Saccharomyces cerevisiae S288C: one gene and its partner. The protein of the gene in region 1 purifies or fractionates together with the protein of each later gene. This does not show direct contact. Each region holds a gene or a part of one and is shown on either strand. Other genes may lie near its edges. The genes, in order: OCT1 and YGL140C.

Region 1 (4,718 bases):
TTACCGGATATTTTTGGCGCAATTCTAATGGAGTCTTTTAGAAACTTCTTGATTCTTTTATCCAATGGTGGCATAGTTGAAACTGTTTTTTAAGTGCAGTGGGAAGCTGAGCAAAAAAAAAAACTAAGCTGCAGGAAGTGAGTTCGTACCCAGATAATTGGTGTATTATGACAATAAAGCTACAACAGATAACGCTTAGTCATTGGGAAAGTGTTCTTTATATCGTAGGCTTTCTTCACTGAAAAGAGCTCTTTCTGATATTACTACAAGATTTGAAACTCATAATATCATTCTGTACGCGAAAACAGTAGATGTGACAATAAGACATGAAGTATATAAAAGAATAACAATAATTATGCTCTGTTTGTAAAGCGTTAATTAACATATGCATGTTCGTTTTTCAGGCAATATGATCGATGGTTTTCAGACCCTTTTAAATAATGGGTCTTAGTATTTATAAGATTATGCAATTTTTTTTTCTTGGTGAAAAGAATTCTTCAGCTATGAATAAACGTCGTTGGCAAATAATGGCCTCGATTAAGCACCTACTCTGTTCTCTAAGACTTGTGAGACTGTGCTATAAATTCCATCGCATCGCTACCGCCTTTCTCTAGCATGGGGCATTCTAAAACATCAGCGATACATTTCCAAGGGTCTTTTAGCCCTCCCCATTTTAGTAAATGCTTTTTAAATTTATCACCATTTTTTCGACTGTACGGATCATCCTCGAAAAGGGCGTACCAGATTTTAGAAGCTATCGTCCTATCAAATAAGTAGCTGTAATAAGTTGCCCCGTATCCAAATAAATGGCCGAATCTTCCACACCAATTACTCTGATCGTCCACTAGGACCTTTAAACGTCGTTCTAGTGCTTGATAGTTTTCCACAACGTCAAAGTTATCAATATCAGAAATGATTTTTTCATCATGAAATGATTGATCCAGCATAGCCATCTTTGCTTGAGAGTATGTTTCACAATTTTGAAGGAAGTTAGTGCTTTTCATGAAGCGCTGTAACATATCAGCCTGAATTGTTTCTCCAGTCCCGTAATGTTTGCCAATCTTTGTCAGAATTCGTATATCCTTAGCGAAGTGCTCCATCAGGATACTTGGTAACTCTACAAAATCAGTAGCACATCTTGTACCACTTATGTTTTGCATATGAGTTCTCCCTAACATTGAGTGCATTGCATGTCCCATTTCATGGAAGAGCGTTTCAACTTCACTAAGCTGCAAAAAACAAAGACTTTTTTTAGAAGCGATTAGTATTGGAGAAAAATTACACACCAAAGAAATAACAGGTAATTGAAAGTAGGTACCGTCTGGATTCTCACCGACTTGGATGGTTGAGAAATCAGTTTCACTGGGATATATTTGCCTAGAGCAACAAACTGTGAAATGAGCCGGATTTGAAGTCTTGCCATTTCGTTCGAATAAATCACAATAAATTATGCCGATGATTCCTTCCTCTTCAGATATCACATTCAATCTTCTCACGTCTGGGGACCATGTTTCTCCCTCATCAGTAATTGCTGGCTCTAATCTAATACCATATATTTGCTGAAACAAATCTGACAAGCCCTGAATGACATTTCCTAATGTAAAATAATAGCTTATTTCTTTGGCATTGGGAGAGTTTGACGGGTTGAGCTGGAAATATTTGCCAGTATAGTAATCCCTATCCCATGGTCTCACGAGCTTCAATATTTCGTCCGTGTTTGTAGTCAACGGCTTCTTAAGATCTTTGGCCTTGAGTTCAGCTATAAATTTCAATTCATTTGCTGTCTTCTCTATAGTATTGTTCATTAACGTCAAAATAAAATCTTGAACATCTTTCGGATTCTTTGCCATTTTACCTTCCAATTGATACTCTGCGTAACTTGTTTTGTGCATTAAATTAGCCAAGATTGCCCTTAGTTTGATTAAGTGACTCAATCTTTTAACCTGTTTGTCAGAACAACTGTGAAGAGCGGTCCACAACTTTTTTCTTACCATCTCATTTTCACAACTTTTTAATAATGCATAAGCTGCATACCCAAATGTAGGTACTTTATAATTTTGCCCTTTTACATCTTTATTTAATTGCTTCAATAGAAATGTACTCACTTTACTATTATCCAGATCTTTACATGGTATCTTCACAGAATTTGAACCAGGATAGTCTGTATGGTTGATGAATTCTTGACCTACTAAACTGATTTCCTGAGATAACTGGATAAACTTTTCTCTAACATCTGGATTCATATAGATTCCTGACTTTTCAAAATCATCCAATAATATTTTACCAACTTTAAGTTCTTCTGCGCTTAACTTCGAAGACACTTCTGGATTGTTTAAAACCGACTTTAGTATGTTACATAAGGAAACATCAGTGTTCAAGACATTCATGAATTCAAACATTTGTTCATGGCAATCTTGTGCTGCCCTAACAAATGCATCATCTGGATGTGTTGACCTAATAAACTCGCACAAATCAATAACTCGACATAGCGTATCGCTTAATCTGTCCAGGTTCATAATATAGGTTAATTTACCACTCTCGCTAAAATCATTCCTCATTTTGTCGAGAAGTTCTTGTGCTTGCTGCAAAGAAACCTGGCTAAACTTACGCAAACCATCTGGAGAAGTCAAATAAGGGTTCTTGAAAAGTCCGGTTTTATTTTTTTTAAAAAGATATTGTGAGATCTTGCTATTATTAGCATCCTGACCATTAATATTTCTCCAATATGAATTGTCGTCGAAAATCTTCTTAATGCTTCCTGGACTGGTCCTAGAGACTGCGCCGGCTGTGGCGAAGAACCTGAGTAACTTATTTTGGCGGGAAGGTGACGGTATGGAGGCATTGGACCCGGCTTTCAATATTATCGTGCGAAGCATTACTGATATTACTTTCGGCGCCTTCACTTAATGTTCTGATACCTATTCCCTTACACATTTAGTCTTTGCAAGTAAATTCATCATTTGTTTTGATTTTGACGCTATATATGTATTTTTCTCACTTTTGTTCATGAGGCGGTGACGTAAAATTCGCCATATCCAATGAGGAATCGACATCTTTCGGCATTTCAACATATTGATGAAAATTTAGAAGAATATATATACAAATGTAAGATTTATATAGGCGTACCATCAACCTTTTTAAGTTCACGTTGAGCTTCCTCAATGAGTTCATTAAATCTAATCATCTCTGAAATACGAATAGCCTTTTTAAGTTCCTTCTTAGATGCCCTCAAGCGTCCCTTATGCAAATTTATCACACCAATACCGTAGTGAGCAAGGGATAATGCCTTAAGTATTCTCTGATCCATTTCGCTTTCCATTGCAACTTTTGGATATTGATTTTCATTGGCAAAGCTGATAATACTTTTATAGCAGTCAGCCGAGTACTGTAAGCAGGAATTCTGGTTTTCTTGTAACCTGGACCGAATAAGTTCTAAAGGTTCTGATTTTTTGTACGGTTCATTATCAATAGCGTATAGACTTCCTTCGAACTTCTCTGAATTTAGATAAAAAATCGACCCGAGCTCTGCCTGGGCAAGCAAGATGTCGTCCAGAGGACTATCCGCTAGTAACATCCATTCTAGTGTTGTTATTTTGCTATTCAAGGCCCCAGAAAGATTACTCCGATTGAGACAGTAACGAGTATATAAATCTCTTGCAGTCAGAAGTTCTTTCATGAAAACGCATTGTTCGCTTTCAGGTTCCTTTATCTTCAACTCCTGTTTTCTTTTAGAGTTTAAATGCATTTGGTAGTCAGGTTTGGATTTACCAATAAATGGTAGACCCTTGAAATTCTTCCAGTCAAGCTGTTGGTTGTTTAAAAGTTCTGATTTGGAAAGAACATTTTTGAACTCCGGTGAGTTCTCCAAAAATTCTCGTTGAGCTAATAAAAGGTGCATTATCAATAACGTTGCATTAGTTTCAGAGTCTTTATTTATTTCATTGAACCTTACCAAAATTTGAAGGTCTCTTTTCAACAAAAAGAATTTTCTCTTCGTTGACTTATCAGTAGTTTTGCTTAGTTCATTATAGAACTTTTTCAGCATGTCTCCATATAAAGCTGTAGCATCATTATACATATGTAATTTCTCATACATTTCTCCGATTTTGATTTCAATACCGGTATATTCATCCGAAAGTAGATCCACGTTTTCGGCTTTACATTCTTCTAAAGCTTCGAGGTAGTACTCAAGGCTTTTTTGGTAGTTCGCACCTTCTTTCTTAATTTCTGAATGTAACCCCTTCCTTAATATTTTAGCAACGGGTTTGGGAAAAGTATGATGTGGCCAATAAACCCACCATATGTTAAAAGCGATGAAACTTACGATGCCTGTCGATAACACCCATTTCTGTAATTTGCTCCTTCTTTTGAATGGTATTCTCCAAAAACTTTGTTCCTTTAATGTAGAATAAAACTTGAAACGGTGATTGGTAAATAAGTTGAGGTTAGTGAGCCGTTCTACGGTCCCTTCATTTTTGACTGATCTATGAAGGTATTTCCACATACTAAATGAGCATAAATTTCTTCATTACAATATCTTTATAATGCTGTTTTTACGTTCTCACTTTGTGCCCTTTTATATATCCTAAAGGATTTAGTTCAATTTTAGAAATTTTCGTGCGGCTGAGTATCCGCAAATCGTTCTTTGTTTGGTATGTATTACTAGTCAAGGATTATTTAATGGTATTTGTTACGAGAACCAAATTACACACAAATCT
Region 2 (6,155 bases), on another chromosome or scaffold:
ATTAAACAAAAGATGCTTCAAACCAGTTTCGGCATTCCATGGAGGGCTCAGTGTTATCATTGCCCCACATTGGATGGAGATGTTTAACTCTATAGAACTACAAATGTTAATATCAGGTGAGAGAGATAATATCGATTTAGACGATCTGAAATCTAACACAGAATACGGGGGTTATAAAGAAGAAGATCAGACAATTGTTGATTTTTGGGAGGTTTTGAATGAGTTTAAGTTTGAAGAGAAATTGAATTTTTTGAAATTTGTCACGTCCGTTCCGCAAGCTCCTCTGCAAGGCTTCAAGGCATTAGATCCAAAATTTGGTATCAGAAATGCAGGGACAGAGAAATACAGGCTGCCTACGGCATCTACCTGTGTTAATTTATTAAAATTGCCAGATTATAGAAACAAAACAATTTTGAGAGAGAAATTATTATATGCAATAAACTCAGGCGCCAGGTTTGACTTATCATAATTCCCAGAAGATTAGGGAGGTAATTAATTAATAGGCAGATTTCTAGTTCTTATATATTACTATAGATAAGGAAATTATACGCTTGTATGCAGAGATAATTTAAGTTTTGCTTTGTTCGCCACCATTCTAGTTATGACCTTTATCTATCATTCTATTTTTTATTGGAAAGGCTTTACAAAAAACAAACAGTAAAAATTCTTTAAGCGAAGTGAAATCGACAATGAATATGAAATTGGTAATTATCTTACATTAGGACTTTTCAATATCTTAGTCCTTCTTTTCTTTCATGTGACTTAGCACCATTTTCAAAGCTAATGGCAAATCATCATCAGAGCTTTCATCATCATCGTTCAGATAATTAGGATCCGCATTACCAAGGGTGCTGTGTCTGCTTAAGCTTGAAAGTTGGCCGGAGGTAGAAGTAATGGAAAATGCTCTATTTCTAAATGTCTTTGGTAAGCCATCCGCGTTTTGGCCTGCTTTATGAGAAGCAATCCGTAATAAATTCAACGCTGCCGGATTATCATTTTTTTCGTATGCCACTGGACATTCCGGCTCATAACTTCTTGTGGAATCAGGAGAAATTTGAGATTCATTAGAATTTGTACTTTGTAAACTTTCATTTCCTTCGGAAATGATGGAAGTACCATCAAATGGGGTCCGATTGCGCCGTGTATTCATAGGATTGCTTTTCCCGTTAATGAAATTATCAAATCCTGTTACTGCCTCTGCAGCCCAGTCCTCGTAAAGTGGACGCGATAAAAACCCGTATTTAAACTCATTTACACCGACCAGAATTTTAGTTAAATTCAACAGCTCTTCAATATACTCAATTATTTCTTCCGATGCAGCACTAGATGCGTTCCAACTTAAAAATTTTTCTTTTAAAACATATTCATGAGGATTAGCTGTTGTGTTGGCCTGTCCCCTTCTATTCATTTTCATTACCAAACCTTCGTTATCATCGTCATCTTCATCCTTGCCGTCAGCGTAATCTCCTTCATTTGGCTTTCTTGCTTTATCACTTAAATTTGAAATCTGCCCAGGATATCTTATTCGCAGAGTTTGGCGCACTTTATTAATCAGCCTTCTATGTGCAATTCTTGCGCTGGGCAAAAATTGCGGTAACGGGGTCTTATTTATAAATGCCTCTTGAAGTGCTCTCATTAGGCAAGAAATACTTCCAACCATTTGGCGTCGATATGGATATACAACACTGTTAAATTCTTCAATAACCGCACTTCCATTTTGCTTTCTCAGCAAGGAAATTGTATCTATCCTCTCTATTATTTGCTTCTGAATAAATATAACTTGAGTGAAAACATTTTCCAACTCGGTATATTCACCCTTTAATCTCGGCTCTTGTCTGGTTAGTCCTTTATAGGCCGTAGCACGGGCTAACGCCTCTTTAGCACTTTTTGATATCTTTTCGATTTTTTTGTATTTCTCTTCACTCATACTACTTGCGACTTGCTCTCCTTCCAGTCCGGTGGCGTAGAGAAGTTCCATTTCCGATATACAGCCACAGACAAAAGAAATCTCTTCATTTAATTGTTCCCGTGCCTTCAATGGAAAGAAAAAGACTTGAACTATTAATGCTACCCCTCCACCATAGCCGACAGCTAAACATCTCTTGGCGAAACTAGTCAATATATCATCTTGGGAGGGAAGTATTGCTGCAAGCATAACAATATAAATACTAATAATTTCAATAATTGCAGCCTTCACATAGGGTGTGCCTAATAAATAGTAAAACCCAGGAATGGCTCCAAAAACTGTGATGACTGTCTCCAAATATGGATTGGTTTGGTTGACAGCAGCAACATAGGAAAGATAACCCCAGGCTGCTCCAAAAATAACCCCCACAGCACGCAAAAAGAAGACCCAGAACGTACCTCCTACGGAAGGTTCCAAACAAAGTATGCACACGAAACCAATCCAGGTACCACGATAGTCTATGTACCACTGCCTTGTCTTTGGAATAAACATCGGAAATGAAGCCAGCATTAATGCAATGGCTACCTGAAATCCAAATCTAAAGTGAGGATGTGACACTTCACAAAACTTATCAATTGAAATAAGCATGGACATAAAAGAAAATCTGCCTTGCCTCCTGGAAGTTCTATTAGTTCCGAACGTAGTTGTTTTCGTTAACGTTAATGGCGACGAAGAAGTGTCAGAGGTAGAAGATGAATTTCCTTTGGGTTCACTTGTCATTGGCAGATCTAGCGATGCATCATCTTTTACAATGTTCTTATTCGATGAAACTTTTTGAGATAAAAGTTCATTCTCTTCATAATCAGGCCTTCTAATAACTGTGTCATGAGCAAAACCATTAGTATTACCATTGAACGTACCCTTTAATGTATCATTTTCAGTCACTGAGTTCCTATCGCCTTTTAACCAGATAGAAAATGTCTCGTAGTTGGTCAACACTAAAAACCAAAGTCTTTTGCCTCTCAGCCAGCCCTTCTTCTCTTGTATTTGACGTTTGACTAAAATGTCCTTGACGGACTCCATAATTACCAAAGTTGAATCTGCAGTTTGCCTAAAATTTAGTAGAAAGCTAGACAACAAAAACATTTCATCACTAGGACTCATAATATCAATATCAAAACTTAACATTTCTGACTTGAATTTTGCTTTACATTCTTCTAACGCCTGCTTCAGGTCATTGATCTTGTTCTGGATGTCAACATCATTGGGCAGATTATTGGCGTTATTACTGAATGTTGGGAAGTTACCATCTTTGAACATTGAGCAGGAATGAACCCTTGAAACTTTCACATCAAATGCATGAGCAAGTACCAACTTTGCTATGTACATGCATTCACTCATTGTCCGGTGTAGACTATAAATCACTGGATGCAACTTGTCAATAACTTTCAACAACTTCTCAGCATTTGCAAAGCTGATTTCTTTGTTCTTTGGCAGTGTCAAAGCTGCGACATCATCAGGCCTGAGCTTGTTATCATGTCTTGCCAATAAAATAAATTCTAATTGGCATGTATTAACTAATCCATTAATGAAGACTGTCAAATTTTCCAAAGTAGATATGATTGGCTTTAGTTTAGTTGGCGAAACATAAGCGTAAGTAAACTCATAAATGCACTCGTGAAGTACTACTCGACAGTTGTTAACTTTAGAAGAAATCAGTGACTTCATCTTCAATAGCTTGCCTAACGAAACAGGATCTCTACTGTACAACTGGCTACTATTGTGCGGGTCAACTGCAATGAAGAAATTTATCGAATAGTCAATGGACTTATGGAGCTCATTCATAGCATCAATAGTCGTATTACCCAAATATGTGGTACCCCACTCAGGAAACAACACAAGATTCCAGAAAATCGACATTGCAATACCCAGGTAGAAAGGCGTACTATAAGCTTTAGCAATAGTGCCTGCTGTTTCATTCAAAGGATCCATAAATGCGAAATGAACCACGACAAAAAGTGGGAAAACAATACCAAAGTAATAGTGTGATACAGATCTCATCCAACCATGAAAAAAAAGCATAATTACTTCGAAAACAGCCAAAATTGCTAATCCCGCTTCATATCTTTTATAGTGCAATACGTGCTGCTGTGCCTCTGTTAGCTCATGCCAAGAACTCCCTAAACATCGCTGCGCAAGGAACCGGCCGAAGATTGCGTAAGCTAGGCCAAATATCAATCCAGTTATGCAATAGATAGCACCATGGATAGTACCCCCGACCCTTCTTCCAGGGTGAACAATAACAGAAATCATTGGCAGCATCGCAGGAGCTGCTCCCAAATGCGCAGTTATCTTAGGTATCAAGCAAAATATGAAAGCTACCGTAGTATTAACAGTCGATTTACATATTCTCTTCGCGAGGATTCTGTCACAGGGGAAATAATACAGCCATAACTTCTGAATCTTAGTCAACTTTGATTTAAGCGACATGGACAAATAATGAAGTCAAGCAATTGATGCAAAGGATAAGGAAGATTTTCTCGCTTGAAAATATGTTCTCTTCGAACTCCAGGATAGGATAGGAATAAAGTAAAAATAGTGTATGATACGTAGTTAGGCCACAACCACAATTATAACCTCTCGATAGCAGGTGTTAATAGAGATGAAGGTAGATCCTGGATTTCTCTTTTCTTTCTTTAGACATCAAACTGGTAGTTCTTATCAGTCTCAGCCTTTTGAAGACCTATCAATTTTATGAGGAGGGTAATGGTTGCTTCCTTTTCCCTAGCAGCGGCCCATCGCTTTAGCTTCAAATAGTTGATTCCTTTAACTGTTGACTATGAAAAGGTAGTCTTCGTTGGGATTGGGGATAAAAGAATATCTGAATACTGTTGCTGTCCGTGCCATTTACTAGCTTACGGACGCTATCAAATTAACTCAAAAACGCTTCTGTTCATCCGCTTTCCAGAAGATCAACGCTCAAAAGACAACAAAACAATTCGAAGACGTCATTCGTTATAGAGTGCCAATCAACATTGGTGGGTACTAGAAAACTTCTTTGCAAAGTATAGCTAAGAAAGGTCTTTTTATTTACGAGCGGGCCATAAATAAAAAAATTTCAACAACAACAACAACAACAACAACAACAACAACAACAAATAGTGGAGACTAGAAAAGTATACCCCTCACAGGCATGAGATTTCTTCAGGTTTATAAATCATCGGCATTAATTGGACTAATAATATTGTTAGCCAGTAAAGTAAATCTTGCAGAGGCAAAAAGGAAGCTGGTAGCCACATCATTGGTCACATGTATGGAAAACTCGCAGCTGTCAGCAAATAGTTTTGACGTTGTTTTCAATCCAGACGACAGGTCATTACATTATGATCTTGATATGTCAACTCAAATTGATTCATATATTTTTGCTGATATTGATGTCTACGCATATGGTTTCAAGATCATTACTAAAAATGTCGATCTTTGTTCAATCAACTGGAAACAGTTTTGCCCGGTTCACCCAGGTAATATTCAGATCGACTCTATTGAATACATCTCCAGTGAGTACGTAAATGAAATTCCTGGTATTGCATACCAAGTCCCCGATATCGACGCATATGCCAGGGTCAAGATCACCAACAATGTGAGCGAGTACCTAGCATGTATCCAAATATACTTCTCAAACGGTAAAACAGTTTCTCAGATTGGTGTAAAATGGGCAACTGCAGTGGTAGCGGGAATTGGTCTTTTACTATCTGCCATCTTATCCACTTTTGGGAACTCTACCGCAGCCTCACATATTTCTGCCAACACAATGTCACTTTTCTTATACTTCCAATCTGTTGTCGTGGTTGCCATGCAACATGTTCATCGAGTTCCGCCTATTGCAGCCGCCTGGGCGGAAAACTTGGTTTGGTCAATGGGGTTAATTAGAATCTCATTCATGCAAAGGATTTTCCGGTGGTATGTGCAATCCACTGGTGGTACGCCTAGCTTATATCTGACTTCAACATCTATGTCTGTTTTGGCTCAAAGAAGTTGGCAATATTTGATGGAGCTCCCATTAATCAAAAGAGCTACCAATGTTTTGTATGGTAATGCAAATACATTAATTTTTAGAGGAATCAAAAGGCTAGGCTATAAAATGGGAATCGAAAATACGTCCATCGTTTGTACCGGTTTTACTTTCTTCGTCTTATGTGGATATGTGTTGGCTGGATTTATCATAGTATTCAAATGCTGTGTGGAGTTA

The links.
Region 2: the proteins of OCT1 (region 1) and YGL140C purify together in Saccharomyces cerevisiae (affinity purification with mass spectrometry, with the first as the bait; one large-scale study listed by BioGRID). This does not show direct contact.

Annotation. Positions count from the first base shown.
Region 1 is NC_001143.9:188,567-193,284, forward strand, and holds OCT1 (metalloendopeptidase), read right to left. Parts: upstream 2,877-4,718; coding exon 558-2,876; downstream 1-557. Other genes in the region: APL2 (Apl2p), read right to left, coding at 1-74; RCI50 (Rci50p), read right to left, coding at 3,113-4,504. UniProt on the Saccharomyces cerevisiae protein: Cleaves proteins, imported into the mitochondrion, to their mature size.
Region 2 is NC_001139.9:240,617-246,771, forward strand, and holds YGL140C (uncharacterized protein), read right to left. Parts: upstream 4,397-6,155; coding exon 737-4,396; downstream 1-736. Other genes in the region: ubiquitin-ubiquitin ligase HUL5, read left to right, coding at 1-469; FLC3 (putative flavin adenine dinucleotide transporter), read left to right, coding at 5,100-6,155.